4 linked regions of the Macaca mulatta genome follow. The protein of the gene in region 1 binds, or shares a complex with, the protein of each later gene. Links are inferred from orthologs where the notes say so. Each region holds a gene or a part of one and is shown in the gene's direction. Other genes may lie near its edges. The genes, in order: CENPA, CENPC, NTMT1 and HJURP.

The links.
Region 2: CENPA (region 1) and CENPC share a complex: the UniProt entries of both Homo sapiens proteins name them as parts of the CENPA-NAC complex. The link is inferred for Macaca mulatta from reciprocal best matches to the Homo sapiens genes CENPA and CENPC.
Region 3: the proteins of CENPA (region 1) and NTMT1 are in contact, whole or in part, in a crystal structure (PDB 5CVD), measured with the Homo sapiens proteins. The link is inferred for Macaca mulatta from reciprocal best matches to the Homo sapiens genes CENPA and NTMT1. Residues at the interface, in NP_001800.1 of Homo sapiens: Gly2, Pro3, Arg4, Arg5, Arg6, Ser7; in NP_001273725.1 of Homo sapiens: Tyr19, Trp20, Met30, Leu31, Gly32, Tyr34, Ile37, Trp136, Asn168, Ile175, Asp177, Asp180, Asp212, Glu213, Ile214, Tyr215.
Region 4: the proteins of CENPA (region 1) and HJURP are in contact, whole or in part, in a crystal structure (PDB 3R45), measured with the Homo sapiens proteins. The link is inferred for Macaca mulatta from reciprocal best matches to the Homo sapiens genes CENPA and HJURP. Residues at the interface, in NP_001800.1 of Homo sapiens: Lys64, Leu65, Ser68, Arg69, Arg72, Asp83, Phe84, Asn85, Trp86, Gln87, Ala88, Gln89, Leu91, Leu92, Ala93, Glu96, Ala97, Ala100, Phe101, His104, Glu107, Asp108, Leu111, Leu112, Leu114, His115, Ile132, Glu136; in NP_060880.3 of Homo sapiens: Glu14, Asp15, Leu18, Lys21, Leu22, Ser25, Arg26, Arg28, Phe29, Arg32, Met33, Leu36, Lys39, Tyr40, Pro43, Phe44, Thr47, Pro48, Val49, Val50, Gln51, Met52, Ala53, Thr54, Leu55, Ile65, Trp66, Gly67.

Annotation. Positions count from the first base shown.
Region 1 is NC_133418.1:98,212,323-98,220,420, reverse strand, and holds the start of CENPA (histone H3-like centromeric protein A), read left to right. Parts: upstream 1-2,682; 5' UTR 2,683-2,940; coding exon 2,941-3,034; intron 3,035-8,098. UniProt on the Homo sapiens protein: Histone H3-like nucleosomal protein that is specifically found in centromeric nucleosomes. Replaces conventional H3 in the nucleosome core of centromeric chromatin that serves as an assembly site for the inner kinetochore.
Region 2 is NC_133410.1:65,936,621-65,944,430, forward strand, and holds the start of CENPC (centromere protein C), read left to right. Parts: upstream 1-2,861; 5' UTR 2,862-3,069; coding exon 3,070-3,087; intron 3,088-3,569; exon of another isoform or gene 3,570-3,679; intron 3,680-4,177; coding exon 4,178-4,224; intron 4,225-7,312; coding exon 7,313-7,383; intron 7,384-7,810. UniProt on the Homo sapiens protein: Component of the CENPA-NAC (nucleosome-associated) complex, a complex that plays a central role in assembly of kinetochore proteins, mitotic progression and chromosome segregation.
Region 3 is NC_133420.1:17,993,466-18,001,370, reverse strand, and holds the start of NTMT1 (N-terminal Xaa-Pro-Lys N-methyltransferase 1), read left to right. Parts: upstream 1-3,193; 5' UTR 3,194-3,333; exon of another isoform or gene 3,334-3,443; intron 3,444-3,474; exon of another isoform or gene 3,475-3,576; intron 3,577-5,886; exon of another isoform or gene 5,887-7,376; intron 7,377-7,862; exon of another isoform or gene 7,863-7,905. UniProt on the Homo sapiens protein: Distributive alpha-N-methyltransferase that methylates the N-terminus of target proteins containing the N-terminal motif [Ala/Gly/Pro/Ser]-Pro-Lys when the initiator Met is cleaved.
Region 4 is NC_133417.1:139,112,252-139,119,610, reverse strand, and holds part of HJURP (Holliday junction recognition protein), read left to right. Parts: intron 1-1,639; coding exon 1,640-3,225; intron 3,226-6,135; coding exon 6,136-6,183; 3' UTR 6,184-6,212; intron 6,213-7,359. UniProt on the Homo sapiens protein: Centromeric protein that plays a central role in the incorporation and maintenance of histone H3-like variant CENPA at centromeres.

The DNA of each region.
Region 1 (8,098 bases):
CCTCCTGAGTAGCTGGGTCTACAGGCACACACCACCACGCCTGGCTAATTTTTGTATTTTTAGTAGAGATAGGATCTCACCATGTTGGCCAGACTGGTCTCTGACCTCAACTCCTGACCACAAGTGATCTACCTACCTCAGCCTTCCAAAGTGCTGGGATAACAGACCTGAGCCACTGCACCCAGCCTACAAAATGTTTTTTAAAAAATTAGCCAAGCGTGATGGTGCATTCCTATTAGTCCCAGCTACTCAGGAGGCTGAAGTGGGAGGACTGCATGAGTCCAGCAGTTCAAGGCTGCAGTTAGCTCTGACTGCACCACTATACTCCAGCCTAGGCAATGATGCAAGATCCTGTTGGGGGGGTGGGGGGAAACGCGTGTGTGTGTGTGTGTGTGTGTGTGTGTGTATGTATATACACACATGCACAAAACATAGAATTTACCATTTTAACCAGTTTTAAGTGTACAGTTAATGGCATTAAGCACATTCATAGTGTTGTGCAACCATCACCACCATCCATATCCAGAATTTTTCATCTTCTCAAACTAAAACTCTCCACCTATTAAATACTAACTCCCCATTCCTCCCCCACTCACTGGCAACCACCATTTTACTTTCTGTCTCTGAGTTCAATTATTGCAGGTACCTCATACAGTATTTGTCCTTTTTTTTTTTTTTTTTTTTTTTTTTTTTTTTTTTTTTTTGAGACAGTCTTGCTCTGTTGCCCAGGCTGGAGTGCAGTGGCACAATCTCAGCTCACTGCAACCTCCTGCTCCCAGGTTCAAGCAATTCTGCCTCAGCCTCCCGAGCAGCTGGGACTACAGATGCGTGCCACCACCCCCTGCTAATTTTTTGTATTTTTAGTAGAGGTGGGTTTTCACCATGTTAGCCAGGATGGTCTCAATCTCCTGATCTCATGATCCACTGGCCTCAGCCTCCCAAAGTGCTGGGATTATACAGGCATGAGCCACCACTCCCAGCCTTGTCCTTTTTTTTTTTTTTTGAGACAGGTCTCACTCTGTGGCCCAGGCTGGAGTGCAGTGGCACAATCATGGCTCAGTTCAGCCTCAACTTCCTGGACTTGAGTGATCCTCCCACCTCAGCCTCCTGAATAGCTGGGGCAACAGGTGTGCACCTCTATGCCCAGGCTAATTTTTTTTTTTTTTTTTTTTGTATCTTTGTTAGAGGTGGGGTTTCTTTCTTCTTTTTCTCTTTTGTGTTTTTTTTTTTTTTTTTTTTTTTTTTTGGAGACAGAGTCTCGCTCTTGTCACCTAGGCTGGAGTGCAGTAGCACAATCTCAGCTCGTTGCAACCTCCGCCTTTCGGGTTCAAGCAGTTCTGCCTCAGCCTCCCAAGTAGCTGGGATTACAGGTGTGCGCCACAACACCTGGCTAGTTTTTGTATTTTTAATAGAGACGGGGTATCGCCATGTTGGCCAGGCTGGTCTTGAACTCCTGACCTCGGGTGATCCGCCGGCCTCGGCCTCCCAAAGTGCTGGGATTACAGGCGTGAGCCACCACACTCGGCAAGATGGGGTTTCGCCATGTTGGCCAGGTTGGATTCAAACTCAAGGGATCTGAACAGCTCGGCCTCCCAAAGTGCTGGGATTACAGGTGTGAACCACCGCACCCCGGCCCAGCATTTGTCCCTTGGTGGACTGCCTTATTTCACTTAGCATAACGTCCTCAAGGTTCATCTATGTTGCAGCAGGTGTCAGAATTCCCATTGTGGTATACGCCCCATTTTGTTTATCCATACATCTGTTGATGGGCATTCAGGCTGTTTCTGCCTTCGGGCTGTTGTGAAGAATGCCGCTATCAACACGGGTGTGAGAATATCTGTTCAAGTCCCTGGCTATATTTAAATTCTTTTGGATATTTAGCCAGAAGTGGAATTACTGGATCATCTGGTAATTCTATTTTTGATTTTTTGAGGAACCACCAATACTATTTTTCACAGCAGCCGCAGCATTTTACACTCCCACCAGCAATGCACAAGGGTTCCATGAAATCACTAATTTTATAACTAACTTTTTTCCTGATTACATGTTCACTGTACTACATTTAGAAAATGCAAGAAATAAAATTTAGAAAATTAAAATTCTCCTTACTCTACATACTGGGACAGGACTTGAATTTTTATTATCCCCAACAAAGGGAAGTGAGCGTTTTTCTGGGACGATTGCGTTGCTATAGTGCCGAGGCCTGCCCTGCCGGAACCCAAGCTCCGCTGATCCCGCCGTCCCCGCGACCCCAAGGATCAGCAGTTGAAGTTCACGCAGTTGAACTGGCTTCTGAGTGTATTTGTGGATAATTCCTGGAAGGGTCGCAGACACGACATGGGGTTGTCACATTCTCTGTGGGTCTGTTTCCTCGTCTTTAAAAGTCGTCTCTGCGTTGCTAGGGCAAAGCATAAAATGTTTAAGGAAAGTGACTTGTCTAGAAAAGCACGTGCTACAAACACACCATCTACGTTCCGAACTGAGCTTCGGTGTTTTGACTGGAGGGCACCTGAGGACGTCAGTACGGTCCCGCAAACACCAGCACCCAGATTGGCAAGCAGGGGCAGGAGAATTTCCCGCCCCCTCTTACTTCTTTAGGTGTCTATTGGTTGATTTTACCATCAGTCGCCCCTATCCTCCTACCATCGCCGCTATTTGTTCATACTCTCATTGGTCCTACCTGCAGTCGCTCTACGTAAGGGGCGTTCCAGAGTCAGCCACTGGAAGTCGCTGGATTCGGGTTTTAAAAAACGCCGGCGGTGAAGTGGGCGGAGCGAGCGATTTGAACGCGAGCGGCGCGGACTGCGGCCAAGCACCGGCTCCTGTGAGGCTCGCGGCCCAGCGTTCTCTGGGCTCCCCAGAAGCCAGCCTTTCGCCCCCGGACCCGGCCGCCCGAGCAGGAGCCGTGGGGCCGGGCGCCGGCACCCTCCGCGGCGTGACATGGGCCCGCGCCGCCGGAGCCGCAAGCCCGAGGCCCCGAGAAGGCGCAGCCCGAGCCCGACCCCCGGCCCCTCCCGGCGGGGCCCCTCCTTAGGTAACTGGCCGCGGCCCATCTCGTAGAGGAGAAAACCGAGGCTCGCAGGCGGAGCCCGGATCTCCCGAATCCCGATCCCGTGGCCTTCCCTGCTGGGGGACAACGCGGTTCCGCCGTCTGGCATCCGCTCCGGGCACGGGCGGTGGCAGCCCTGCGAGGGACTGGAGCAAGCGGTTCCGAAAGCGTGAAGGGACCGGCGCAGCCACTTGGCCCCTAACGCCGTCTTCTTGTTAGGACTAGCGGTTACCCAGCGCCCACCGCCAACCAGGCATTGCGTCCCACTGTTCGTGCGTTATCTCAGCTTCATATCGTGCCCATTTTACAGCTAATGAGAAAGCCAAGGCACAAGCCAGGGAGCTTGAGCAGAGTCACACAACTTGTTCTGGCGGACACGGGATTTCCAATCCTCTGTGTTTGTGCATTTTTAGATTGCACAAGTATTGACTGCTTTCGGTGACGATTTCAAACAGGAGTCCTCTTAGGAGGTGTCTTTCAGGTTTTTTTTCCCCTTCCGGGACAGGCTCTTAGGCCTCGAACCGAGGCCTTCTGCGCTGCTCACGCTGTTGCGTTCCAGAGCTTGTGTCCGGGGAAAGAGGGGCCAAAGTCTGTGTCTTCATTGTCTGTGTGGTAGGCTGGTGGATGGGAGACCCAAGGGCAGGAGGAGGCAGATGCCTGTGTGGTACACGGTGGCAACAGCTGCTTTACTTATCTCTTAACTCTTGCTGCATAGCTAGGAAGAAGATGGGAAGTGTATTGTAGAGTTTGTCTGTTTCATTGTTTTTTATAGAGACTCGGTCTCCCTATGTTACCCAGGCTCGTCTCAAACTCCTGGTGATCCTCAAGTGATCCTCCTGCCTGGGCCTCCCAAAGTGCTGGGATTACAGGCATGAGCCACTGTGCCTATAGGCTTTTTGTTTTTTTGTGTTTTTTTGAGACCTATCGCCCAGGCTGGAGTGCAGTGATGCCATCAGGGCTCACTGCAGCCTCAACTTCCCAGGCTCAGGTGATTCTCCCACCTCAGCCTCCCGAGTAGCTGAAACTACAGGCATATGCCACCATGCCGGCTAATTTTTTGTATTTTTAGTAGAGATGGGGTTTTGCCATGTTGCCTAGGCTGGAGTAGGTTGTTTCTAGATGTTGCTGTTGCGGATGGGATTTTTTTTCTTTCCCAAAACACAAGCATTTAACCTTTGCATCCAGCCAACTTGCTGACTTCTCGTTCATCCTAGTCTCTTTTAGTTGCTTCAATTGAAATTTTTAAGTAGACTATTATGTCATCTGCACATAACTTTAGAATCTTTCATTTTCGTCTCTAAACATTTTATTTCTTATTGTATGGTATTAGTAAGGCCCTGAGACTCACTAAGAGTGGTGTTTTGGCCATCTTTGTCTTATTTGTAATTTTAACGGGAATATGAAGTATGATGTTTGCTGTTGCTTTCCAAGGTAGAAGCATCCTTCTACTCCTGATCAAATGGAAGGTTTATCTCAAATGGGCAGTCAACACTTCTTGGCAGTCCTACCACCTTTGTCTGGTATTCTTTCTTCAGTTTTAGAGACGGAGTCTCACTCTGTCGTCCAGGCTGTAGTGCAGTGGTGCTATCTTGGCTCATTGCGGCCTTGACCTCCTGGGCTCATGCAATCCTCTTGCTTCAGCCTCCCGAATAGCTAGGATGACATGTGCACCACCATGCTTGACTATTTTTAAAGCTTTTTTGTAGAGACAAATTGTTTTGTCTCTACAAAGAAAAGCCATCGTGCCTGCCCTTTGTCTGGAATTCTTGCTTTTCCATTCTCCCCATGACTATTTCATACCTTTTTCTCCTTCCTCGACTTCCTACAGCTCCATTCCCCCTACTCTTAGCCAATGATGGCCTTGACTAGGTGTCCCCCTTCCTATCAAAGCTCTTCCTCCTTCTACATGGGGTCTTGGTCATATCCTTCTTTCACCTACAAAGGAGCTTTCTACCTGTGCTTAGATAAATCCAGACACTTAACACTGGCATTGGCACATGTGCTCTAGTATTTATGATCTTTTTTTTTTTTTTTTTTTTTGAGGCAGAGTTTCCCTCTTGTTGCCCAGTCTAGAGAGCAACGGTGATCTCGGCTTACCGCAACCTCCACATCTTGGGTTCAAGTGATTCTCCTGCCTCAGCCTTCCGAGTAGCTGGAATTACAGGCATGCGCCACCACATCTGGCTAATTTTGTATTTTTAGTAGAGATGGGGTTTCACCATGTTGGTCAGGCTGGTCTCCAACTGCCAACCTCAAGTGATCCGCCTGCCTTGGCCTCCCAGAGTGCTGGGATTACAGGTGTGAGCCACCGCTCCCAACCATATTTATGATCTTAAGAGAAAGGGCAGGGGTGTTTCCTTGACCCCACATTCTCACTTCCCTATACCTCCCATTTCTCTCTATTTCCCTTCATAGCTCTCCTTTTAAAACAGCCAGACTTGTTAGGTCCACATACATTGCGTCTGATTCCTCACTTCCTAGTGACCCTACAACCCACTCCAATCTGACTCCCCACAACCAGTATCCCACTTCTAATTTGCTTGAACTACTCCTGTCAGGGTCACCAGCACCTTTTGTAGTGCCAAATCCAGTAGGCGGGTCTGTGTTCTTACTGTGTCTCAGAAGCATTTGATGCAGTGGGCCTCTTTCTCCTTGAAGCATTCTGTTCCCTTGGCTTCCATGCCACTGTGCACTCTGGCAGTTCTGCTTAGTGTTCTTTACTGCTTGTGCTGCCTCCCTCCACTCCTTGATGTTGGACTTCCTTGACATTCTTTTCCTTTCTACCCCCTCCCTAGATGGTCTCATCTCCTCAGTGGCTCTAAATCCCACCGAGATTTACATTGACAGCTCTCAAATTTATGTATACCTGGATCTCTCCTCTAACCCCAGATACCTATATCTAACTGCCTTTCTATCTGAAGGCTCGTGGTTATGTTAAACTTAACACACCCAGAACTGAACTTCTGGTTACTCCCCTCCAGCCCCTTCATCCTCAGTTTGCCCATTTCAGTAAATGGCACAACTACCCACCCAGTTGTTCAAACCACAAGCCTGGGAGACCACCATCTCCAATACAAATGCAAGTCCAGATAATTCTACTTCCAAACTGCTCCTTAATCACTCCATTTTCACCATCTCTGCTCCCACTACCCTAGTCCAAGCCACCAGCGTCTCTCAAGAGCAACTGTGAGAGCCCCCTAATCAGCTGCTAATCCACTTCCACTCTGTCCCTTTCCACTTCTTTCCTTACACAGCAGCTGGAGTGACCTTCAACATCTCTATTCTGCTTAAAACTCTTCCCTGGCTTCTTCTTACATTAGGATTAAATTCCATCTCTTCATGTTGGCATTTCAAGACCCAACTACTAAATTTTTGATCCCAGTTCTTTTCCATGATCTCTCTAATTGGTTACTTTTCAGAACCACTTGTCCTTGGTTCATGGATTTCATATCTCTGTTACCTCTCTGAGATTGTTATCCATTTTTCTCTCGAGGTTTCTATCTCTTTTCTCTATTAACTCAATTTCGTCTGGTATTGGTTATTTTGTTTGTTGAGTTTGGTTCCTTTCTTTCATGGTATTGGCCTTCTTAAATTGTTGGGTGATCTTTAGTTGTGTTCATCTTCACATTTTCTGTGAATGCTATGTCTTGTTTATTTTTTTATTTTATTTATTTATTTTTGTTTGTGACGGAGTCTTGCTCTTGTTGCCCAGGCTGGAGTACAACGATGCAAGCTCAGCCCACTGCAGCCTCCACCTCCTGGGTTCAAGCGATTCTCCTGCCTCAGCCTTCCAAGTAGCTGGGATTACAGGTGCCCGCCACCCCGCACAGCTAATTTTTGTATTTTTAGTAGAGATGGGTTTCTCCATGTTAGTCAGGCTGGTCTCGAACTCCTGACCTCAGGTGATTCACCCACCTTGGCCTTCCAAAGTGCTGGATTACAGGCATGAGCCACCGCACCCAGCCCTATGTCTGTTTATTAAAGACTGCCTCCAGTGACTGGATTGCCAACTGGTGGTGGGGAGGGAGGGAGGTGTCAGTAGCTCGTCTCCTGGGTATGGGTCCTCCCTCTTTTAAATGTCACCAGTCTCCTGGACACTGCCCTGTTTCATTGGCTTATGTTCCCTAGCCTCACCCAGGGATGATCTTCTCTGCCGGCTGCCTGGCACAGGCCGTCTCTGGATTGTCTCACCTTCCCCACTTGCTCTTGCAGCTCTTCTAACACTTTGTGATTAGTTTATTGTATTAAATGCCTTCTGTTGAACTTGGTGTAGAGTCTCTTTCCTTGGCTGGATCTTGAATAACATTTCTGAAACAATTTTATCCTTCAAAATGTTATTTTTGTATTTTGTTTGTTTGTTCAACTTATTGGAGGTTCACTCATCTTGGTCCTTGGTTGTAATTATGGAGCAACTGTGCTGTTTTTTCTTTAACTTTCATTTTCACTAACTTATTATCTAATATTTCTTTTGTTCTATCTTGTTGTGGTTTACTTTAATAACTCTCTAATACTTAATTTGAATGCTTAGCTCAGATATCTTTTAATGTTCTTGTTTTCTAATAGGTACACTTTAAGGCTATGCATTTTCCTCTAGTGCTATTTTGGCTGTATCTCATAGATTTTGGGGTATGGGCTTTTTATTGTTATTCATTTCTAAATAGTCTAATTTCAATTAAGTTTCCTCTTCAACACAGGGTTAGAAGAAACTGGTTTTTATATTCATGAGTTTTTAATTTCTGATTAGAGAATTTGACTTTTTTGATTTCTATTTTTGGGAATATTTTTAAGGTTATTTTCTTTTTTGTTCTTGTTGGAACCAGGATTTGAGCCAAAGACTCTGACTCCACAGCCCAGGTGCCTGACACTGGCACTGAGTTAGGCCATTCCTTACACAGGTCTCAGCTTGGCCACTAATGAGGGCTGACCAACTGTCTTCACCTCGCTGGGCCTCAGGATAATCAAGACAAGAGAATTATACTAGTCCCTCAGATTCTTTCCAGCTGTAAAAAACAAATAAGAAATCGAAAAACAAAACAATTGAACTTCCAA
Region 2 (7,810 bases), on another chromosome or scaffold:
GGTATAATTTATTGCAAAAGTCACTATTTTGGCCAGGTGTGGTGGCTCATTCCTGTAATCCCAGCAATTGGGAGGCAGAAGCCAGAGGATCACTTGAGCCCAAGAGTTCAAGACCAGCTTGAGCAACATAGGAAGATCCCATCTCTACAAAAAATTAAAAAAAAAAAAATTAGCAGGGTGTGGTGGTGCATGCCTGTGGTCCCAGGTATTCAGGAGGCTGAGGCAGGAGAATCATTTTAGCCCAGGAGGTCGAGGCTGCAGTGGGCCTTGATTGTGCCACTGTACTCCAGCCTGGGCGACTGAGCAAGATCTTTCTTGTTAAAAAAAAAAAAAGTCACCTTTTTTCAGGGGCACAGTTCTAACTAGGAATTTTGACAAATAGATATAGCCATGTAACTACCATCATAATCAAGACATAGAATATTTTCAGCACTACAAAAAGTTCCCTCGTATTCCTTTATAGCCTTTTTCCCCCACCCTCCTCAACCCCTGGTAACCATTGATTTGACTTCTTTTCATACAGTCATTGATATCCAGCTTCTTTCACTTAGTACAATGCTTTCAAGATTCATCCATATTGTACATCAGTAGTTTGCTTTTATTGCTGAAGAGTATTGCACTTCATTGAGGTACATTTGTGGGATGGGAATGAATACAGACTAATTTTTAAGTGGTTAGTTCAGTTGTGAATATTTTTGTGCTAACACTTAACGGAAGACACGTTGATAGTAAATACTCATACCATAATTGTTTGATGGAAATCAAAGATCTAAAACAAAATATTCTTTGAAATAATTTTAATATTTACAAATTTTAAATTATCTACCTAAAACCATAAATAATGAAAAGTTTTTTTGCTTCTCTTTCAAGACAAATTTCTGGATACTTTATGTTCCCATATACACATCTAATTATGTATATGTTAATACTTCCATATACTGATATGTAAGTACACACACACACACACACCCCCTTAACTAGGTAAGTAGTTGTGAAAGAAACTTCAAGATTGCATTAGCAGCTCATAAGAAGTAATCTTGATGTATTTTGGGGGGAGATTTATAAAGACAAACCTGGGTTTTTAAATAAATATTACTCCCCCCATTAATTAGCAATCCTATTTTAGGATACTAAAACCATGGTGGGGCTACTAAGCACTACAACAATATGGAAGTAAAACGTTTGTCTGGAAACTGTGGCGTCTCCATAACTGTTTTTATAGGAGTGCTGCTCCATTTTCTTTAGAACAGTTCATCCTCAGCACCCTGTGTGGCCTGCATTCTACAGCAGCACAAGCCATTGCATTTCAAATTTCTCAAAACCCTCTGTGGGACTTAGTTTCCAGTGGAAGCAGGAGGATATAATTTTACATATGGGACTTTACATCTATAAGTGTGCTTGCTAAAATTTCTTACCCAGAGGCAAAGAGTGTAGTGATTAAGAGCTCAGTTGTGGAGTCAGAATTCTTGGGATAATATCCCATCCTACCATTTAGTGGTGATGTGATCTTGGGCAAGACACTTACCTCTCTGTGTTTCAGTGCCCTTGTTTATAAAACAGGAATATTAATTGTTCTCTTCAATGCATGCGAAGCATTTACAGAACTGGGCATAGAGTATGCACTCAATAAATGTTAGTGTTTATTACTATCTATTCCAAATGTGATAGTACCAAATTATATATCATGTGGACTGATTGGCAAAACTGCCAAACATAGTAAAAGTGTCTCCATAATGATTCCAATAGCTTTATTATTGAATTCTTACTCTGTTCCAAACATTGTGTGTAGATCTTAACAGGAATTATTCAATTACAACATCTCAACCACTTAATATTATTCTCATTTTGCAGACAAGAGAATTAAGGAACAGATAACTTAGTTGCCCATAATGGCAGAATTAATGGAATGGAGTGCAATCTAGGCCTAATTTCTGTCAGAGTTCATAGTTCCTCTTTCTTTCCTATCAAAAAAAATAAATAAAATAAAAAATTGGCTTTCATAGGTGACAGCATTTATTAAAGCACTACATGTTTTAAAAATCTATTAGCTCAACTCCTGATTAATGTATTTATTCAATGAGTAAACTACTTTCTGATTAGAATTTTCTTGTAATTTTAAATTAAATAATAAAATAAGACACAGCTTCATAGAATCATACACTGGTCAGGTGAGAAGTCTTCAGAGCGTCTAAGTTAGACTTCCATTCTATCACTATGGAAACACCCAGAATGGTGCCGAAATTTTTCTCCCCATAACACAGCTAGTCATTGGCTGGCAGGTTTCAGGATTCTGTATAGAATTCTTTTCAGTGCATCATACTTAAATGATAGCTATTTACGTGGGTCATTTGTTGGCAATGCATCATAAAAACATCACCCACATACTTGAAAAAGAATACAAGCCATCATCACCATTATTACACATAATTATTCAATTATTTTCAGAGATGATGGTTAGATGGGTTGGGCGTGGCTGACGAATTTGCATTAGAAAAATCTCTTCAAAAAGATTCTGTTAAAAAAAAAGTCTTCAATTTCTACCTCTCATCCTTCCAAGTATTACTTATTATTCTTTAATAGAACTGTTGAGAAGTTTTACATTGGGCACAAGGAGCGGTTCCCAGGACCGCGCCTTCCAAATAAAGGCCCACTCTCGCGCCTGTCCCCGACGCGGCGCTGTGGAAGGGAGGTGGGAAGAGCAGAGCAGCTAGAGATAGGGCGGGCGGAGCTGCGGGCGGGAGGGCCATTGGCTTAGAGCAAGAAGGGGCGAGCTCACTAACCGCTTGCTTCCTATTGGACGGCGCAGCCCGTTTTGCGCATGTGCGGCTGGGTTCAAACCCATGCAGGCGCCGAGCGTTCTTGTTTTTTGAGGGCGGAGCTGATGGCGGGGAAGTGTTGTTAGCGCGCGCCTTCCGGATCCCAGCGCTCCCGGCCGTCCTCTTCGACTTAGGGGTGTTGCTTGGCCGCCGCCTGGTAGTCTGGCGGTTCATTTCTTGCTCGGCCTCCTGGAGTTGTGCTCCGTGTGGGCTTCCACCTCAGACCCCTGCGCTGGCTCAGCGGGGCCGGAACATGGCTGCGTCGGGTCTGGTAAGTGCGGGCCCTCGCGCTCCAGGCAAGCGGTTGAGCGGCTGGCTGGGGACACGGGCGCCCGAGGAGGGGGAGAAGGAAAGGCTAGGCTGGGGCTGTGGTCCATGAGGGATTTCAGTGGGAAAGCCGGAGGAATTTTTGAAATCAAGTGTGATCGTGTATCGATAATCGGAGTTAATTTACTGTACTTTTATTATTTCTTAAGTTTTCGTGTCTTCGTCTGTGCCTGCGTCTTACTCTTGAGAGGTGCTTGTGATTTCTGTTGGGGTGTTTTTTCGAGACGGAGTCTTGCTCTATCCCCCAGGCTGGAGTGCAGTGGCGCGATCTTGGCGTCTGCTTTTTAGTCTAGCTCCAGTTCCTAGTCCTCCAAATACTTTTCTCCCCATGGTAGAAGTATTGAAACGCCTTAAAAATGTGCCTTTGCGTCACACTTGCTAGTTGGGAGAAACAGATTATGTAACAAGTATGTCCCGAAATAGTTTGACGTTTTCAGTTCTTCTGTCAAAATGGTGGCCTTATATGCAGTTCTTGAGGCTGATTTATGGAGCATCAGTTATCGACAGTGTTCTTAAAGACAGCTATTAGTTAAAAGGTACAAGCTGTAAATGACTAATGGGGGCGGCAACTCATATTTTGTTTACATATTTCTGGACTTCTTTGGTGTTCACTATTCTATATTTCATACTTTGGTTATGGTTGCTATATCAAACCCGTATCATTTCTTTTCTAATTTATCTCCTCTTCTTCAGCTTCGATGATCTCCCATTGTGTGACGTTATACATATAAACATAAAGAGTTGTATGAAAGAATAATATAATCTAGACTTTTTACTATGAGCACATATATTGTTTACATTATATATAATCAGAAAAAAGCAATAAAGCCATTCTCACTGTGGGGAGAGAAGCGGAATAAAGCTTACCAGATGCCGGCCGTTCAATTTTTAAATGCCTATCATAACCTTAGAATTGTTTTGAGCCCTTAGGAGATATTTGGTGTATAGCATGCCCATGCTGGATGAAGTTACTTTGAAAATAAATTTTATTCTGCTATATCTTAAACCAAATGGATGATTTACTTTTCTTTCAGGATCATCTCAAAAATGGCTACAGAAGAAGATTTTGTCGACCTTCCAGGTGATTTATATACTTAAGCTTTTAAGATTATTTTTATTCTCATCGTTAATAGATTTTTAAATGAAGAAAGGAAAAACTATCACCTGTGACTAAAATAATGATTTCTATGCCCACTGATTAAGGGTAGTCATCTTATACTAACGGAATGTTAATGCAAGCAGTGCAATGACTTTGTGGCTGTGAAAAAAGAAATTCACCTGATAAAATAGTGGAAACAGGAAGAGGGAATCTCAGTTCTGACTAAGTGACTGCCATGGGAAAAGCATTTTGTAGAATGAATCAAATGGTAAAATTAGAAGGATGTAGCTTATTCAGTGGGGCAAAAACAAAAATAATACATGCTATCATGCATTTATTTGTTGGATGCTTATTTGGGTTGTTTTGGTCCTTCTTTTAGTTGTAAAACCTGTAAAAAGTAAATTTTCTAGTTAAATATTTACTAGTAATAGGATGAAAAGCATGTTCTTAAAAGTGAAGATGTTATTTGAATAACATCTTGTTTATTGAGCTGTGATTTTAGTAGGTCCGATAGGGCACAGAAGTATGTTATTTTGCTTCCAAGAAGCTTTCATTTCTATTGGGAAGATGTATATGTACATTTGTGAAATACTTTAATGGACAAAAATTAGTACTTATAATACTGAAGTAATGACTTGTGTGTCAGAGAGAGTACGCCTATATATAATTAGGCATTAACTTGCAGTATAGACAGCCATGTGAGAAATTAGGGAATTCTGTGTTGTTGATATTAAGAAAAGCTTTAAAGTTGTAGTGTAACTTTGGTGGACCTTGAATAGGTTAGGTATTTAAAGACTAAGATAAAGTTCATTCCAGACATAGAAAGTAACTTAGCAAAGGAACCAAAGTAGGAACACATACATTTGTCGGTAGCAGAAACCTGATTTAAGAAGGTTGAATATGTTGGGTAGAAGTGGAAAACAAGACCATATGAGTTGGATTGAGCCATAAAATGGATATGTTAGGCTTAGGTATCTATTATAGGTTTGAATAAGCTGTCCTAAATCTTCTGTGGAATAAGGGCTATCTGATGTAAACACACACACACATTTAAAAAAGCAAAGATGTTTGATGTTTACAGAGTAGCTTAAGGAAGGGGTTATAGTAATCTAGACTTGATGGAGGTGCTTTTATGCTAAGGTAATAATGACAAGGGGGAAGAAAAGATGAATTTGATAAATTTTGAAAAAGCTGTTGCCTAGACTAATGTGACCTGTGTTCTAATAGTGACTCTGCATTATCACCTTGGAAAATCTGATGTTTCTGGATCTCCTCCTTGAAATAGGTAATAGTAGGAGTGTATTTATAGCTGTAGGTGGTATTTTGGGGTGGTGTCAAGGCCAGAATTTGTAACAGTCAGCTATATATATATTCTGGTAGAAAACCGGCCACTAATACTAATTAGGTTTACAAACTGAGGTAGGCCATTTGACCATTTTGGATTGCAGTTAGCCTGTCTGCAAAATGAGGGCATAGGATTCAGCCTAGTGGTTTTTAACTAGATTTGCACCTCAGAATTATCTCCGTCACCCTAGGAAATCTGATTAAATTGGTCTCTAGGAAGTGACCAATTATGTGTATTTCTGCAAAGTTCCAAAAGTAACTTATGCATCTATTTGGATAATTATTGGACTGGATGATATCTGAGATCTTTCAGTTATGAAACTTTATGACGGATGACCTGATAATGCACTGTGGCTCACAATCTTTACTGCATATATAGTACTTTTCGAGCTCTCAAGAATAATAGGAATGTTGTAGATCAGGGATCAGTAAATTCTGGCTGATAGGCCAGCCAAATGTTTTGTCACAGGTTTTGTTTCAATTTTTTTATTGGAACACAGCCATGCCTCTTTACATACTGTCTGTGATTGCTTTCGGGCTAGAATGGGAGAGTCGACTGGTTGTGACAGAAACTATTGTTTACAAGCCTAAAATATTTACCATCTGGCCCTTTAAGCAAAAGTTTGCCCACCCTGTTAGAGATGCATGTCAGTTTTTTACTGATTGAAATCCAGATGTTCTTCAACAGGTAAATGGTTAAACACTGTGGTACACATATAGCATGGAACACTACTTGACTCTAAATAGCAATGAAATATTGATACATTCAACTTGGATTGATTTCCATAGAATTGTGTTGAGTGAAAAAAGCCAAGGCCAAAGGATACGTACTGTATGATTCTAGTTACATATAATTTTTTCCAAATGACAGAATTTTAGAAATGGAGGACAGATTAGTAGTTGCCAGAGGTGGGAATGAGAGGAGGCAGGAAGGAGATGAGAGGAAGGTGGTTATGGTTACAAAAGGACAATAGAGGATCTTTGTGATGATGGAACTATTCAGTATCTTGACTCTGGTTGTTTTATCTGAACTTACAGATGTGATACATTGTGTAGAAATAAATACAAACATGAGTATATTCAGAAATGAGTACATGTAGAACTGAAGAAATCAGAATAGCATTGGTAGATTTTATCAGTATCAGTATCCTGATTGTGATGATATGCTATAGTTTTGCAAAATATTAGCACTGAGGAGAACTAGGTAAAGTGAACAAGGGATCTCTATTATGTTGTATAGCTGTGTGTGAATCTACAAGCTCAATATAATTTTTAATTAAAATTTATACTGATTCATAAACTTAAGATTAATCAATGATACTGAATCAAAAATGCATTTGAGAATTTATAGGGAGGAATCTGTTATTTGGAGATGTGACTGTAAAGTCTGTTAAAGAAGCATTTCAGTACTGATTGGATTCATTCAAAAAAATTTGTGTTTTTGAGATACAGCAGTAATCTAAAACAGCTTTAGACATGGCTGTTCAACTAAGAAATATTAATTATTAATGTAGATTATGATATACTAATTCTTATTAGGACGGAAAGAGTTCAGTTCAGGGAATGTATAGACCCTCAAGTACTTGTTTTGTCTTCAGATAGTAAAGATATTTTACATATTAAGTAAATTAATATTTTACAATGAGATGTGGAATTTTCAAATAGATGGTAATATAAAGAAATATCTTCTGAAAATGATAGGCTGTATTTTTCCTTTCTTTATTAGGGCACGTGACATTAACACACAGCAAGGCCAGAATGTTCTGGAAATCTTACAAGACTGTTTTGAAGAACAAAGTAAGTCTTCATTTCAAGATGGAGTTTGAGGGTTAGATGGATGAAAATATGAATTTGTCATGGTAATTAATGCCAAATGCAGCAAATAAAAAATAAAAAATTTAAACCCTATAGGGTTTAAGTATATGTAAAATGTTTTCCCTGGTATTTTGAGTTCATATGCAATCCTTTGTGTACCTTCTGGTATACTTAGGATAATACTGACAAAAATAATAATTTGACAATAATTTGTCATCCCCTTTAGTTCACATTAGATTACTGTAATCTAGAAGTCCATACATAATTATACATAAGAAAAAATATTTTATTGTTTATTTATTTATTGAGACATAGTCTCACTCTGTCACCCAAGCTGTAGTACAGTGGCGCTATCTCAACTCACTGCAACCTTTGTCTCCCAGGTTCAAGTGATTCTTGTTCCTCAGCC
Region 3 (7,905 bases), on another chromosome or scaffold:
CCTTATCTCTGAGTCTTGGCTGGGAGAGGGCCGAGAGGAAGCTCATAGAGTATTGTGAAGCTGGGGTGGGAGACAAAGGTCATTTACATGAGTATTTCACTGGCATGGCATAGTTTCATAATTTGAAAATGAAGAAACGACTTTGTAATTCAAATAACAGAGTGACTCACTAGAGGACACATCGCCAAAGATGTATTCTATTTTCTGTCAATGCTTCTCACCAGGGATGGAGGGACATACTTTCTTGGAGAGCTACAATATTGAGTGGGGGAGGGAGATATTTTTGTATTTATTTAAAGGGTATGTGACTTTTTTTAATGGCTGAGAAACACCAGATTAACTAGATGGTTTTTTGTTTTTGTTTTTTTTTGAGACGGAGTCTCGCTCCGTCAGCCAGGCTGGAGTGCAGTGGCGTGATCTTGGCTCACTGCAAGCTCTGCCTCCCAGGTTCACGCCATTCTCCTGCCTCAGCCTCCCGAGTAGCTGGGATTACAGGTGCCCGCCACCACACCCAGCTAATTTTTTTGTATTTTTAGTAGAGATGGGGTTTCACCGTGTTAGTCAGGATGGTCTCAATCTCCTGTCTCAATCTCCTGACCTCGTGATCCACCCGCCTCGGTCTCCCAAAGTGCTGGGATTACAGGCATGAGCCACCACACCCGGCCTAACTAGATGTTTCTAAAGAGCCCTCCAGACCTTGCACTCTGCAATCATTTATCAAGCAACTACTATGTGCTAGGCTTGGGAATTCAGAGATGCCAGAGGCTTTGAGGTCAGGGAGCTGGCCAGCCCTGGGAAGGCCTTGGAGTCTGGGTGTGGGGAAGGGGCTTGCTCTTCTGTTGACAGGAAATAAGATAGGGCTGGATTTTTAGGCATGCAGAGTTTGGACCAGAGCTGCCCCCTGGTGGAGGATTCCAGACACCCCCAGCAATTGAAATTGCCCAGGATCAATTCCTTTGCGTAGAGACACAGAAAATGAAGCTTGCTCAGACCAGGGGTAGCAGTTAGGACCTAGAATAGTCTAGAAGGGATGCCAAATAATATGCACATACACACGTTCTGCGGACTCAATGCAGATGTGGCTTTTTGGCATCCCCTTTCTCCCGTAGCTTTCAGTACATTTAGAGCAAACACACTTTAAGCACCTTCTGTGTGCACTGCTCAGAGGAAGGCATTGGAAACCTAACACCAGAATATTATTATTTTATTTATTTTTGAGATGGAGTTTTGCTCTTGTCACCCAGGCTGGAAAGCAATGGTGTGATCTAGGCTCATTGCAACCTCCACCTCCCAGGTTCAGGCGATTCTCCTGCTTCAGCCTCCCGAGTAGCTGGGACTGCAGGCATGCACCACCACGTCTGGCTAATTTTGTATTTTTAGTAGAGACGGGGTTTTGCCATGTTGGCCAGGCTGGTTTCAAACTCCTGACCTCAGGTGATCTGCCCGCCTTGGCATCCCAGAATGCTGGGGTTACAGTTGTGCACCACTGCACCCTGCCAAAACCAGGATGTTATTAATAGTTTAGGAAAAATGACCTTAGGGTGAATATTGTCATTATAATAGCTTCCATTTCCTGAGAACCCACTGCAGGTGCTGAGCTGAAGGTCTGGTGTGCAGTGTCCCACAAGTTTAATCCTCTCAGAGCATCAGAAGTTGAGTAATGATTACATTGCTCCACTTCTTCTGGCAGGAGACTGAAGCTCGGAGATGTTAACAGGCTCTACCCACCTGCAAGCTCGTGTTTCCATCACTGCTGCCTCGGAGATAGCTCCAGAATTTCTTTGCATGGGAGGAGCCGAGGGAAGGGCCATGCTTTTGGAATGGAAATTTCATGGGCTTGTTCTGCTTATTTGGGTGGGAATCCCATGGCACTGCCAAGAGTATTTTTTATTTTATTTATTTTTGGGGGGTCGGTATTATTTTAAGATGCTAATGGAGATGGGTGGATTTGAGGACCAATGGCTTTTTTCCCCTTCTTACTCAAAGCCCAGCCTGCAGCCTCCAAACGAACTGTTGTTCGTGATGGGGATGAAGAGAGGGCAACGCCGCGGCTCTTTTCAGTTCGGGAGGTCCTTCCAGATTCCCAAAAGTCAATTTAGTCAAGTTTTGAGCTGTAACCTGTGTTGGGCGCGGTGGCTCACGCTTGTAATCCCAGCAGTCTGGGAGGCCAAAGTGGAAGCCTTGCTTGAGGCCAGGATTCAAGATCAGCCTGGGCAACAGGGTGAGACCCCGTCTCTAATTTTTTTTTTAAAGAAGTCAAATTAGGCCGGGCGCGGTGGCTCACGCCTGTAATCCTAGCATTCTGGGAGGCCGGGGCGGGCGGATGACGAGGTCAGAAGATCGAGACCATCCTGACTAACACGGTGAAACCCCATCTCTACTTTAAAAATACAAAAAAAATTAGCTGGGCGTGGTGGCGGGCGCCTGTAGTCCCAGCTACTTGGGAGGCTGAGGGAGGAGAATGGTGGGAACCCGGGAGACTGAGCTTGCAGTGAGCTGAGATAGGCCACTGCACTCCAGCCTGGGCAACAGAGCGAGCCTCCGTCTCGGAAGGAAGGAAGGAAGGAAGGAAGGAAGGAGGGAGGGAGGGAGGGAAGGAAGGAAGGAAGGAAGGAGGGAGGGAGGGAAGGAAGGAAGGAGGGAGGGAGGGAGGGAAGGAAGGAAGGAAGGGAAGGGAAGGAAGGAAAGGAAGGAAGGAAAGGAGGGAGGGAGGGAGGGAGGAAGGGAGGAAAGAAGGAAGGAAGGAAGGCAGTCAGTCAAATTAGGCTGGGCGCAGTGGCTTACGCCTATAATCCCAATACTTCGGAAGGCAGAGGCGGGAGGATGACTTGAAGTCAGGAGTTCGCAACCAGCCTGGCCAACATGGTGAAAACCCGTCTCTACTAAAAATACAAAAATTAGCTGGGTGTGGTAGCTCACACCTGTAGTCCCAGCTACTCTGGAGGCAGAGGCAGGAGAATCGCTGGAACCTGGGAGGCGGAGGTTGCAGTGAGCCAAGATCGCGCCACTGCACTCCAGCCTGGTTGACAGAGCAAGATTCTGTCTCAATTTAAAAAAAAAAAAAAATTAAGTTAAATTATTTTTCAAAAGAAGTCAGGCTAAATCCGGAGCCCGCGGGAGGGGGGCGAGCTGAACGAGGAGGTGGGGCCAGCCGTGGCCCCGCCCCTAAACGCCCGGAAGTGACGTTAGCGGACAAAGGCAGCGCGCGCCGCGAGCTGTCGCGTCTGGTCGTGGTGTGGCGGAGCTGCGGTTACCTTGTGGGGTCTCCGCCGCTGCCGCCCTCCCTTCCTCTTCCCCATCTTCTTCTCTCGGTCCCGGGAGCCCCCGCGCGGAGTGAGTAGCGCGAGGCGGTGCGAAGGGTAGGCAGCCGCCGGGAGAGGGGAGGCCGCGACCCCTAACTGCTTCGGCGCCCTGTGGGCCCCGGCTCGTCACGTGACCCGGCGCGTGCGCGAGGGCCGGCACGGGCCCCACGTGCGCGTTCCCAAGCGGTCCACGGGCCGGACCTGGGCAGGGACTACGGAGCAGTCAGTCCATGGGTTGGGGTACAGGAGGAAAGTCAAGGCACTCAAAGCCCAGGCAGGGCACTCCCCCACCCGGGTCCCCAGACCGCAGCAAATCCCTTTCTCTGAGCCTGTTTCCCCTCCGAGAAACAGGGATATGGAGAGCGCCCACTCGGAGGATGGATGGGAGGAATCGGTAAAATGCCCAGTTCAGAGCCTGGCACAGTGAAGTGCCCGTTGCACAGAAGTTGCCGTCGTATTTAACCTTGGGTCCCGCCCCAGCGCCAGCCCGACACAGGTGCAGCTCAAAAAAGACACCCCCAGAACCCTTGCGGCCAAGGTCAGCCTGTCTGCAGGGAGGCTGCCATATCGAAAAGCCCAGGCTTTGCTGCCCACCAACTGTGTGATCTCTCTCTCTGGACTTCGGTTTCTCCTCTCTATTGTTAAGTGATTGCCACAGCTGGTGTCAGAGGCCCTGACAGCGGGGAGGGACAGTGTAACCGGTGGTTGTGGTGTGTAGAATGATTGCCCAGTGAGATGGGATGAGCCTCTGGGAGGAACCAGGGCTGGGATAAGGAGCCTGGAATCCCTCCTTAATTCTGTTCTCGGCTTCCTGTTCGTATGTTTAAAGACACATCGTTTCCTTTAGTGTGCTGGTTTTTCTCTCTGTAAACTGAGGACTGCGTGGGGGTTGGAAGTAACGCATGGAGTGTTTTGGTGGAGGCCGGAAGCCCTGGGATCACAAAGATAGCATCTAAAAAATCTCGGTGGGGGTTCTGTGCTTACAGACAGAGGAAGCTCACTCCTCACTCTGGCTGATTTGCAGAGCTGTTTGAGTCTGCTGGATTGGCCGCCCAGCATACCAGTAACAGTCCCCTAGGTGTGTCCAACAGTACAGCTTCTATGGCATTCTAAGGCACTTTTCCCATTTGATCCTCATAGTGCGCAGAGTTGACAAGAATCTCGTTTGACGGAGAATTTCTAAGCTCAAGAGAGAATATGTGCCTGGCACTGTGCAAAGCACTTTAAGCTTTTCGTGTGCACTTTTAATCACAGGCTTTCTGTAAAGTCGGTATTACTGCTCCATTTTATAGATGAACTGAGGAATGGTGAGGTTTGATGTCTTATCTGAGCTTAACACAGCTGGTGAGCAGAGCCAAGATTCAGATCTGGTTCATCCGACTCCATCAGAGTCTTTGTTAGTTTTTAAATGTATCCCCTGTTTTGTCTTCTTCCCTCCCTTTTTCCCTTCTTTCCTTTTCTTAGAGCACTCTGCCATTTGCATGTGGCCTGCTGCTGTCCACAAAGATCCAGGGAGGATGGGTTCTGTCCTGTAGGCTGCTAGAGGGTGGAGGTCACTTTTAGGCAGGCTTTTCCGTAGAGACTTAACATGAGTAGGATGAGATGACTGCAAAAGTCTGCCGGTGACAGTTTCAGCACCGTTTTCTTCCATGGGTCGTGGGAGAAGAGACGCAGTAACTGGGGCAGCTGCGTGGGTCTGAACACCTTGGCGGGGAGGAGGAGGCAGCAGCTAGGTGACCGTGAAGGATGTAGGATCACATTTACTGGCTGAGCAGGCATTTACCAGGCGTGAGGGGTTTCTCTTCCTCTCTGAGCTAGCCTAGAGTTCACACAAAGCCAGGGTGCTCCTGGCCTCCTCCCAGGCCCTGCAGCCACATGGCATCTGTCCTCTGGAGCAGAGTGTAGCAGGACCTCCTGCTGTTGGCCGACCGACCTTGCTGTTCCCTCGGACTCTTAGGGACCTCCTCCTGCCCCACTGCAATCTGGACAGAATGTAGCCAGGACCCTAGGAATCCCATTTATTAATGAATCAGCTGTTAGGACAAATGTCAAAGTCAGGCTCGCTATTTCCCTGCCAATATGTGCCTCCCCTGGCTTTTTCCTAGAATTTGCGTGTAGGTGGAATTCTTGTAAATTAGATTATTTGGGGGACCCTGACATTTAAAGGAATCATGTTACAAGGCTTTTGGTAAAGCACAAAATTATGTTGTCGGTAACAGCCTTCAGTATTACCAGTTTTGAATGGTTGGACTTTTGTCTGTAGGATTTTCTTAGAAGTGGAAAATGGCTATAGCTGCACAAAGCCCATTGTATTATTTGGCAACCAATTAGTCAGTGCCCACCTGGTGTCAGGCACTGGTCTAATCGATACGCGTTTGCCCTCAGATTTATTCTGTTCATTTGATCAGAGATTAACTTTCTGTTGAATATCTGTGTTTCGTGGGATGCAAGAGAAGCATAGTGATAAATCTCAAATGTTGCCATTGCTCTCTAGGAGCTCCCAGGCCAGGCGAGAGATAGAACTGGATACAAAACCTTCAGTTTACCAAGACTGGTGGGTGGTGAGAGGGAGACGGGCTTGCTCTCGCCGTGCTCCAGTCTGAATGGGAGTTGTGCTAGCATGGTGTGGAAGAGTAGTATTTCGTTTTTTAACCTTTGTCTTTAATTTTCCCAGCCACCAAGTGTTTTTTATTTTTTGAGACAGGGTCTCGCTCTTGTCTAGGCTGGACTCAAACTCCTGTGCTCAAGCAGTCTTCCCACCTCAGCCTCCCAAAGTGCTCAGATTATAGGCATGAGCCACTGCACCCAGCTGTAGTTTTGAATGCCATCCTCTCTGAGTGACTGATGGAGGGCTGTGACATGGTTGCTCTGGTGCCTGCTGGCAGAGGGGCAGGCAGCCCACCTGACCTGGTCCTTACCCCGTCAGACCATAGCAGCCACCAAACCCGGCTACATGGTGACATTCAGGTTGGTGGCCCTTTTCCCCGTCAGCCACCATGGCAGATCTAGCAGTCTTGAGGATTGGCAGGTCTGGTGGGAACAAGAATTAATTCTTCTTTTTTTGACACACTGTCTCACTCTGTTGCCCAGACTGGAATGCAGAGGCAGGATCATGGCTCACTGCAGCCTTGACCTCCCAGGCTCAAGTGATCCTCCCACCTCAGCCTCCCTAGTAGCTGGGAGGTACTAGAATGTGTGTGTTTTTGATAGAGACGGGTTTCTGAGCCATAGGCTGCTTTCTCCTTCCAGCAGTGTTGTTCCCAGTGCTGGGAGACCAGTGTGGGAGCTCTGTGGTCAGCTTGCGGGGAAGGTGTTATGTGCAATAAGTAGAACTAAGGTCCTCCCCAGCCTGTTACCCCAAAGGGCTCCCTGATTGGTGCAGTGATGGCTGCCTTTCTTCATTGTGGCCCAAACCCTGTGTGTGAACGGTAAAGTGAGGGGTCAGTCTGCGAGTGGATTCAAGAATCTGAAGAGGGAAGCCAGGCCCAGTGTCATACGCCTGTAATCTCAGCTACTTGGGAGGCTGAATAGGGAGGATGGCCTGAGCCCGGGAGTTTGAGGCCAGCCTGGGCCACATAGCAAGACCCCATCTCAAAAAAACAAGAATCTGAAGAGAGGTTTAAGTAGACTTCTCTAGGCACAGCCAAAGGGTTCTGCTGAGGGTGAAAAGACCCAATCACGGATCTAAGAAGAACCGGGCCCCGGTAGAGCACATGGGTCTTGTCAGCTCTCTCTGGACCCTCAGAAAGCTGGCGTGTGACTTTGTCAGTGAAGAAAGCTCAAATCTGCTGAAGGAGTCAGGCACGGTGTTGGAGAGGAGGGACCCCGTCCCCTCTGTTCTCAGCAGCCACAACAGGCCTTTCCCTGTTGCCCCCACTGGCTGGCTGGGTCTCCGGAAAAGGCTGACCAGTTACAGAAGGAGAATTGCATCCGTTAGAAGTCGTCTTTTTTTTTTTTTTTTTTTGGATACGGAGTCTTGCTCTGTCGCCCAGGCTGGAATGCAGTGGCGCGATCTTGGCTCATGGCAAGCTCCACCTCCTGTGTTCAGGCCATTCTCCTGCCTCAGCCTCCCGAGTAGCTGGGACTACAGGTGCGCGCCACCGTGCCCGGCTAATTTTTTTGTATTTTTAGTAGAAACAGAGTTTCACTGTGTTAGCCAGGATGATCTCGATCTCCTGACCTCATGATCCGCCTGCCTCGGCCTCCCAAAGTGCTGGGATTACAGGCGTGAGCCATGGCGCCCGGCCTCGTTAGAAGTATTCTTGAGCTGACTGGCTGGGGTGGGCCTGCTGCTTCTGGAAAGTTCCTTCTCTTTCAGGTCAGGTTCAGAATATAGTAGTGCAGAAGATAGTACTGGGGGCCAATAACAAATTTGACCAATGAAAAATCTTGGCTGAGTGCAGTGACTTCCGCCTGTAACCCCAACACCTTGGGAGGCCGAGGCAGGTGGATCACTTGCAGCCAGGTGTTTGAGACCAGCCTGGGCAACATGGCAAAACTCCGTCTGTACAGAAAATACAAAAGTTAGGCAGGTGTGGCGGCGTGTGCCTGTAGTCCCAGCTACCCTGGAGGCCAAGATGGGAGGGTCACCTGAGCCATACTC
Region 4 (7,359 bases), on another chromosome or scaffold:
ATTGCATTTGTGTATGCGTTTATCCCTAAATGCCTCACACATACCTCCAAACGTCGGGTCATTCTCCTTTATGACTACGGTACCCTTAACACATGCCAGAAATTGAACATTGATGCAGTACAGTTTTACCCATTGTGCCGATGATGGCCTTTGCAGCCTTTCTGGTTTGCCTGACCATTTCCAGACCCATTCAGGCTGGTACCACTGTTGCGTTTAGTCTCCCTCCATCAAGAGTAGCTCCTTGACCTTTTCTCCCTCGTGGCCACCTTTCATATTATTGCCTTTCTTGAATAGCCCAGGCCAGTAGTTTTGCAGAATGTCCCTGAATTTGGATCTGATTGCTTCCTCATGGTTAGGTTCATGTTAAACATATTTGGCAAAATTACTACAGGGACGACTTGTCCTGAGAACATTTGGTCAGTCTGTCCCATTCTTGGTGACTTTTGAGGCTGGTCATTGAGTTCAGGTAAGACCTTAATTCAATGTTTCTCATTGCGACAGGCCCTTTTTCCTTGTAGTCATTTGTGTGATTCTTTGAGATCTCTTAGGAACCTTTTCTCTAAAAACTTCTCACCCAGTGACTTAGAAGCCAGCAATGTGGATTTCCTGGGTGGAGGTCCCCGCCCAGGTTGTTTCTGTCTCTGCTCTTCCTTGGCACACGTCAGTTGGCATTCTGTTGAAAAGAGCTATCTCCCCTCTGGTCCTTTTTTTTTTTTTTTTTGCTTCCTGTAGTGCCCTCTCATGCTTTGATTTATTTTTACTTTTTAGGATCAGTAGGAATTCATTGAGTCTTCTTGTTCTTTGATTCCCATGTTATAATCCATTGCCAGTATTCAATCTGACACTCAAGTAGTCCCAGATTTAGCTGTCAGGGAGCCCCTTTCAGTCTGGCTTTTGTGTCGTGTGGTGCAACCCCATGATTTTTTGAGCATTTCTTCACCCCTGCCCTGACGCCGTATTTTCCTCTCCCTGTTCTCACCAGCCACAATGACTTAACACGCGCTCATCTGGTCAATCGTGCAGCACAAAATAACTCTAGCATTGCGGCACCTGCTACCACTCTTCACAACCATGTGCTAAGTAAGCTTCAACATTTCCAAGCAGCTCTTTTTATTCCTAGACAATATCTCTTTAAGAGGCAGACATTCAGCATATTTGGACTCTTTTTTCTCTTTCAGTTGTCAATGTAACATACAAATTTTCTTTTTCTGTTTGTGTTCAATTTTATGGTTTTTCCCCATCATTGTTGGTTACATATAGGAAACATTTAACATGATGCAAAAGTCAAAGCTATATGAAGATGTTTGTTTAGAAGTCTTACGCCCCTTCCCATCCCTGTAGGTAAACGGCGTTGTCATTTTTCAGTTTCTAATTAGCTTCTGCAAAGGCATCCATCTTCTAAACAGCCTAGAAGCAAAGGAAGACACCTTTGGGAAATGTACGATGGAGAGTAGAAATCAAATTTTGATAGCAAAAAATATCTCTGAGAAGAGTCTACTCCTACACATTTGTGGTGTTTTTGTTTTTGCTATTGCTTAAAAAAACATAGTCCTGATCCAATCTTAAGTTCTGTCATCTGTGCACATGGATGGTTTAGAATGGTAACACACCTTTACTTTATGTGTATCTTTTCTCCCAGGATACTACAGTCGTGTCTCTGGAAAGAGTCCTGGTGACCCAGCAAAACCAGCTTCATCTCCCAGAGAATGGGATCCTTCACATCCTTCCTCCACAGACATGGCCTTAGTACCTAGAAATGACAGCCTTTCCCTGCAAGAGACCAGTAGCAGCAGCTTCTTAAGCAGCCAGCACTTTGAAGACGATGACATTTGCAACGTGACCATCAGTGACCTGTACGCAGGGATGCTGCACTCCATGAGCCGCCTGTTGAGCACAAAGCCATCAAGCATCATCTCCACCAAAACGTTCATCATGCAAAACTGGAACTCCAGGAGCAGGCACAGAGGTAAGAGCAGGATGAACAAAACGTATTGCAAAGGAGCCAGACGTTCTCAGAGGAGCTCCAAGGAGAACTTTGTACCCTGCTGTGAGCCTGTGAAAGACACAGGAGCAATCAGAGATTGCAAGAACGTATTAGATGTTCCTTGCCATACGACAGGTTTAAAATTGGAAAAAGCTTTTCTTGAAGTCAACAAACCCCAAATCCATAAGTTAGATCCAAGTTGGAAGGAGCTGAAAGTGACACCCTCGAAGTATTCTTCCTTGATTTATTTCAACTCCAGTGCAACGTATAATCTTGATCAGGAAGATAGATTTAGGACATTAAAATGGTTAATTTCTCCTGTAAAAATAGTTTCCAGACCAAGAATACAACAGGGCCATAGAGAGAACCGTCAGAGGGAGATTGAAACGCGATTTGATCAGCTTCATCGGGAATATTGCTTGAGTCCCAGGAACCAGCCTCCCCAGATGGGCCTCCCAGACTCCTGGGCCATGAACGTGTACAAAGGGGGTCCTGCGAGTCCTGGTGGCCTTCAGGGCTTAGAAACCTGCAAGCTGAGTTTACCTTCCAGCAAAGCAAAAGCAAGAAGTTTAAGCGAGGCTTTTGAAAACCTGGCCAAAGGATCTCTGAAATCAGGTAGGTGCCTGCCCAAGAGCAATTCTTCTTCACTTCCAAAGGCCAACCCCACACACAGCCCAGCTCGCCCGCAACAGACCTCTGATCTTCACGTTCAAGGGAACAGTTCTGGAATATTTAGAAAGTCAGTGTCACCCATCAAAACTCTTTCAGGCCCAGACAAAGAAGTGCTAGGCCACAGAAGGAATCGTTATGATGAAATTAAAGAAGAATTTGACAAGCTTCATCAAAAGTACTGCCTCAGATCTCCTGAGCAGATGAAGGCGCCTTCATGTATTGGAGTGTCTACAGGTAAAGCAAGTATGGAAGTTCGGTATCAAACAGAAGGCTTCTTAGGAAAATTAAATCCAGACCCTCACTTCCAGGGTTTCCAGAAGTTGCCATCATCACCCCTGGGGTGCAGAAAAAGTCTACTGGGCTCAACTGCAATTGAGGCTCATTCATCTACATGTGTTGCTCGTGCCACCAAGAGGGACCATCATTTCCCTGCAAAAAGACCCAGGCTGTCAGACCCCCAGGGCTCTGGATGCCAGGCCAGTTCCCAGGGTGCCTCAGATGGGGTAGTCAACATCGTAAGACCGGGAGACCAGGGCAGCTCTTCACAGCCCAACTCAGAAGAGAGGAAGGTGCGTTTCTGTTGGTTGAACGTGGGTGTTTTATGTGAGTGACTCCTCTTTGGACAGAGGGTTTTTATGGTGGGAACCTTTGTGCCCCTTTTAGTGAATCTCAACCGAATTCTTACATTCGTGATCATTTTCCGAGCATTCTCCCAAATGCTTTTCCTTCCTGTAAAATCGTCTATATCGAGAACATGTTCCTGTGCAAGATGCATCGAGGTTGAGCAGAAGACGCTCTTGCATCGCATGCTTTCCACTAGAATGCACTCACAGGTGGTTTTCTACAAATCCTCACTTACTACACTTTGTTCGTCTTTGTCGAACGTTGATTTCTAACCTCTTCATCTGACACTCAGAAAATAGCGTTGGAAGGCAGAAGTGTTCTAAAGCAAATGACTTCCTGTCTATTTCGGGACTCCTGGTGGGGACAGAGCACGAGTGGCCCGGGAGAGCCATGAGCATGGCATTCCCACAGGCGTGAGCGGTGCCCTGCAGGTCGCCTCAGTGCTCGGCGTGAAAACTTCTGCACCTCGCTCTGCAGCTTCATTTGTGCGAATCACGCCAGCTAGAGTTTGAGTCTGCGTGTGCCCTTTTCTCGAGCGACAGTGCGGTGGGGTAGGTCAGTGTGAGTGGGTACCTTTGTTGGCATTAAGGCCTGGATTCCCCAGCACAGCTTGTCTGTGTGTCCACAGCCAGGATCTAGAGGATGCGACTTTTTAAGCTCAGTGCCACAGCTCACCCACAGGTGGACAGGACTTGACTGTGGGTTTGATTTGGCCAGTTCCTTTGGGTTTTGTGTGTTTGTGGTTCCAGCAGGTGAGGCTGTGTCTCCAGTATCTTCTTCCCTTGTGCCCTACCCTGGCGATGTGCCTCTTTGAGGTCATTTGCGTGGACGCTGCCTGTCATAAATGTCCCATTTTCTGTTTCTCCCACCTGGGCCCGCCTGGCCTGTGAGCCCTTCTCAGCTGCTGGCTCCTGCCATCCGTCCAGCTCAGAACCAAGGTCTGGCATGCCTTGTTCCTTCTGTGGCGCCTGCCTTCACAGCCTGCAGTCCGGCCTGTGCATGGCAGAGACCACACTCTCAGACCACCAGCGGCCTCCTGTGACTTGAGCCGCCTGACGCCTTTCTCACTGTGACTCTGTCTTCCCAATGCCCTTGGACTGCTGCAGGGCCACCCGCTCCAGGGTCTGCCGTGGGACAGCCCTTCCCTTCCAGGGAACTTTCACTGGCATTCTCCCGCTACTACCTGGTTCTTTGCTATTGCATCCCCAGACGTCCTCCCCAGACTCCACCCACCGCTCAGCTGCCTGCTCTGTGCAGGTGACCCCCACCCTCCCACCACATGGTGGGTGCTGCAGTGAGGAGCTGTCTGGACACGGGCCAGTCTCGTAGGTTAGCAGCTCAGGCTCCTTGGCTCAGTTCTAGAAGCTCCCAGGTTTTGTTGGGTGTCTTGGTTTTCAAAGTTATTTTCATGTATAAAGTCATACTGTGTGAACTAACCAGGAGCAGATGAAACAAGCCCTCTGTTGTCATCTGTCTTCCCAGTTGAGGATGGACATACATATGTGTTCAGGTGATGGGAAGGGTTTTTCTCTGCAGGGCCTGGCTAGGGTCAGGCACTGTGTGGGCAGGGCCTGGCTAACAGCAGAGTCTTTCCCTCGGGTCTTGGTCTCCAACTGTGTGCCTGATGCCCCATTCCTGTGCCCACATGGCTTTTTCAGAACAAACCACTGGCTGGGTGGCTTTGAGCCCCAGTTAGTGAAGCCTTCGAGAATCTCAGCCGCATCTTCATGGCAGACACTTCGTGGAGGCTGCTTTGAGAGCGAAGCCTATGCGTTCTGTTTAACAGATGACCTCTCAAGAGTCTCTTTCTCAGTTGAAAGGGGAGCATTTCACCAAAAACAACTCTCCGGCCCAGAGAGTGATCCGAGGTTTCTCCTGCCTCCCGCACATCAGAGCTCCTCTGCTCTGCTCGCCCTGCCTGTCTAAACCTAACTTTTTTCTCAGGTAGTGCCCCAGCTCTTCCATTTACCATCATCCTGCCCTGGGATTCTGTCTCGTGCCTTTTCCCACCTTGTTCTGTGATCTGCTGGCACCGTGCCAGTCGCCTGCAGACCCCTTTCCATGTGTGACGTCCTGCCCCAGTGCTCCGTGCAGAGGCTCCTGTCTTGTTTTTTCACCTGCTCAGCCTTAAAGGGCTTTCTTCTGGCCCAGCCACACAGGAGGGACCTCGGCCTTGCGGGGAATGGTGTGAGGCTGCATTATTGTGGGGCTGGGGAGTAGACCATCCTGAGGGCGCTCCCAGCTGCCCTGGAATTTGACAGCAAGTCAAATCATGAGCACCCCAGGTTTTTTTTTAAACCACAGTATAAACGTGTAACTGGTTTCCTATGTTTTTCTGCTTTTCTGCTTAAATGATAAATTTCTTGAGGAAAGAGACCAAATCTTCATGAGCTACAACTACATATGGAGTTTTCATGCCTAACATCTCAGTGCTCTCTGTGTGCCAGGTCATGCTGAACCATTTTTACGCCTTATCTTTAATCCCCACCAGAACCCCTTGATTAGATCGATTCTGTCCAATAGGCAGGCTGTCTCTCCTTTTAATAGATACAGAAAAGTAGCTTAAATCCTAGAACTCCTAAATTCACTCGCGCAGCGGCGCTAGCTGGGCCAGGGTGTGGGATGTGGACTTTCCCACCAGCTTGTGCTCCCTGGGGGAGTGTGGGGGGCGGCGTGGGGGGGTCGCCATTATATTTTTGTTGTTTCTTTAACATAACTTACTTAACGTAATTTTCTGTAAGTATTTTTATACATGCAATGGAGTAAGTGGAAAACAGTTAACCTTTTAGTGGCTGGCGTTGGGAATTCTACTAGAATTTTGCTAACATCATTTTCTTTGTCTTTTTTTTCCCTAGAGGAAAGAACACGTCTTACAGGATGGAAGAGAAGTGATTTTGTGCTAGAAAAATCAAAACTAAAAGTGTGCAGCTAGGTAATTTTGAGTGTTATTTCTCTTCCCACTTGCTCTCTGTTTGTATTTTTGTTTTTAATTCTTGAGACTGAGGACTTGGTTGACTTCTCTGCCCTTAAAGCAAATATTAGTGAAATTGGCTCCATCAGAGATGGCCCTCGAGTTCTTGGTGTAGAAATTATGTGAATAAAGTTGCTCAGTTAGAATTCTTAGGGTTCTCTTTGATAGGCCTGTTTTTCTAATGTGTGCGTTTTTGGGGGGTTTTGTTTGCTTGCTTGTTTTTGAGACAGTCTCTCTGTCGCCCAGGCTGCAGTGCAGTGGCGCAATCTCAGCTCACTGCAACCTCCGCCGCCTCGGTTCAAGCGATTCTTCTGTGTCAGCCTCCCAAGTAGCTGGAATACAGGCGCACACTACCACGCCTGGCTAATTTTTGTAGTTTCAGTAGAGACATAGTTTCACCATATTGGCCAGGCTGGTCTTGAACTCCTGGCCTCGTGATCCACCCGCCTCAGCCTCCCAAAGTGCTGGGATAATAGGTGTGAGCCACTGCGCCCAGCCATGTGTTCTTTTTTAAATTTAGATATGTCCAGAGAATTTCCTGTTTCCCATGTCATTTGAGAGTATTGTTTGCTTGTGAGACGTAAGTTTGAGCCCTGCATGCAATGACCCTTGAGGGAAAATTAATAGTCCTGGTGGTCCCAGACACTCCTGCAGCCACAGCGCCTGTGACTCCTCACGATTCTTATTGAAGCTGTTGATGACAGGATATCATGGTGACGTTTTTGTAGTGAAATAGTTCACATATTCAGAATACACTGGTGAAACTCATGCTGGCGTAGTTAATATATTGCCATATGAGTTTGGGGTTGCTTTTTTATGAAAGATTAAAAATGAGATTGAGGTACACATTTTTCATTCCTGCCTGCCTCCCCAGGCGATTACTCTCCTGATGTCCGATATCACCTCCCTACCCCACCCCATATCCCTTCCCCCCATGTCTTACACTGGGACCACGTTGTGTGCGTGAATATGCGCGTGTGCACGCGCGCACGCCTGCGTCCTCAGGCTGCTATAACAAAATGCTGGAGACCAGGTGGCTTCAACAGTAGAAATTTATTTTCTCACAGTTTTTGGAGACTAGAAGTTTAAGACAAGGGAGCCAGGATAG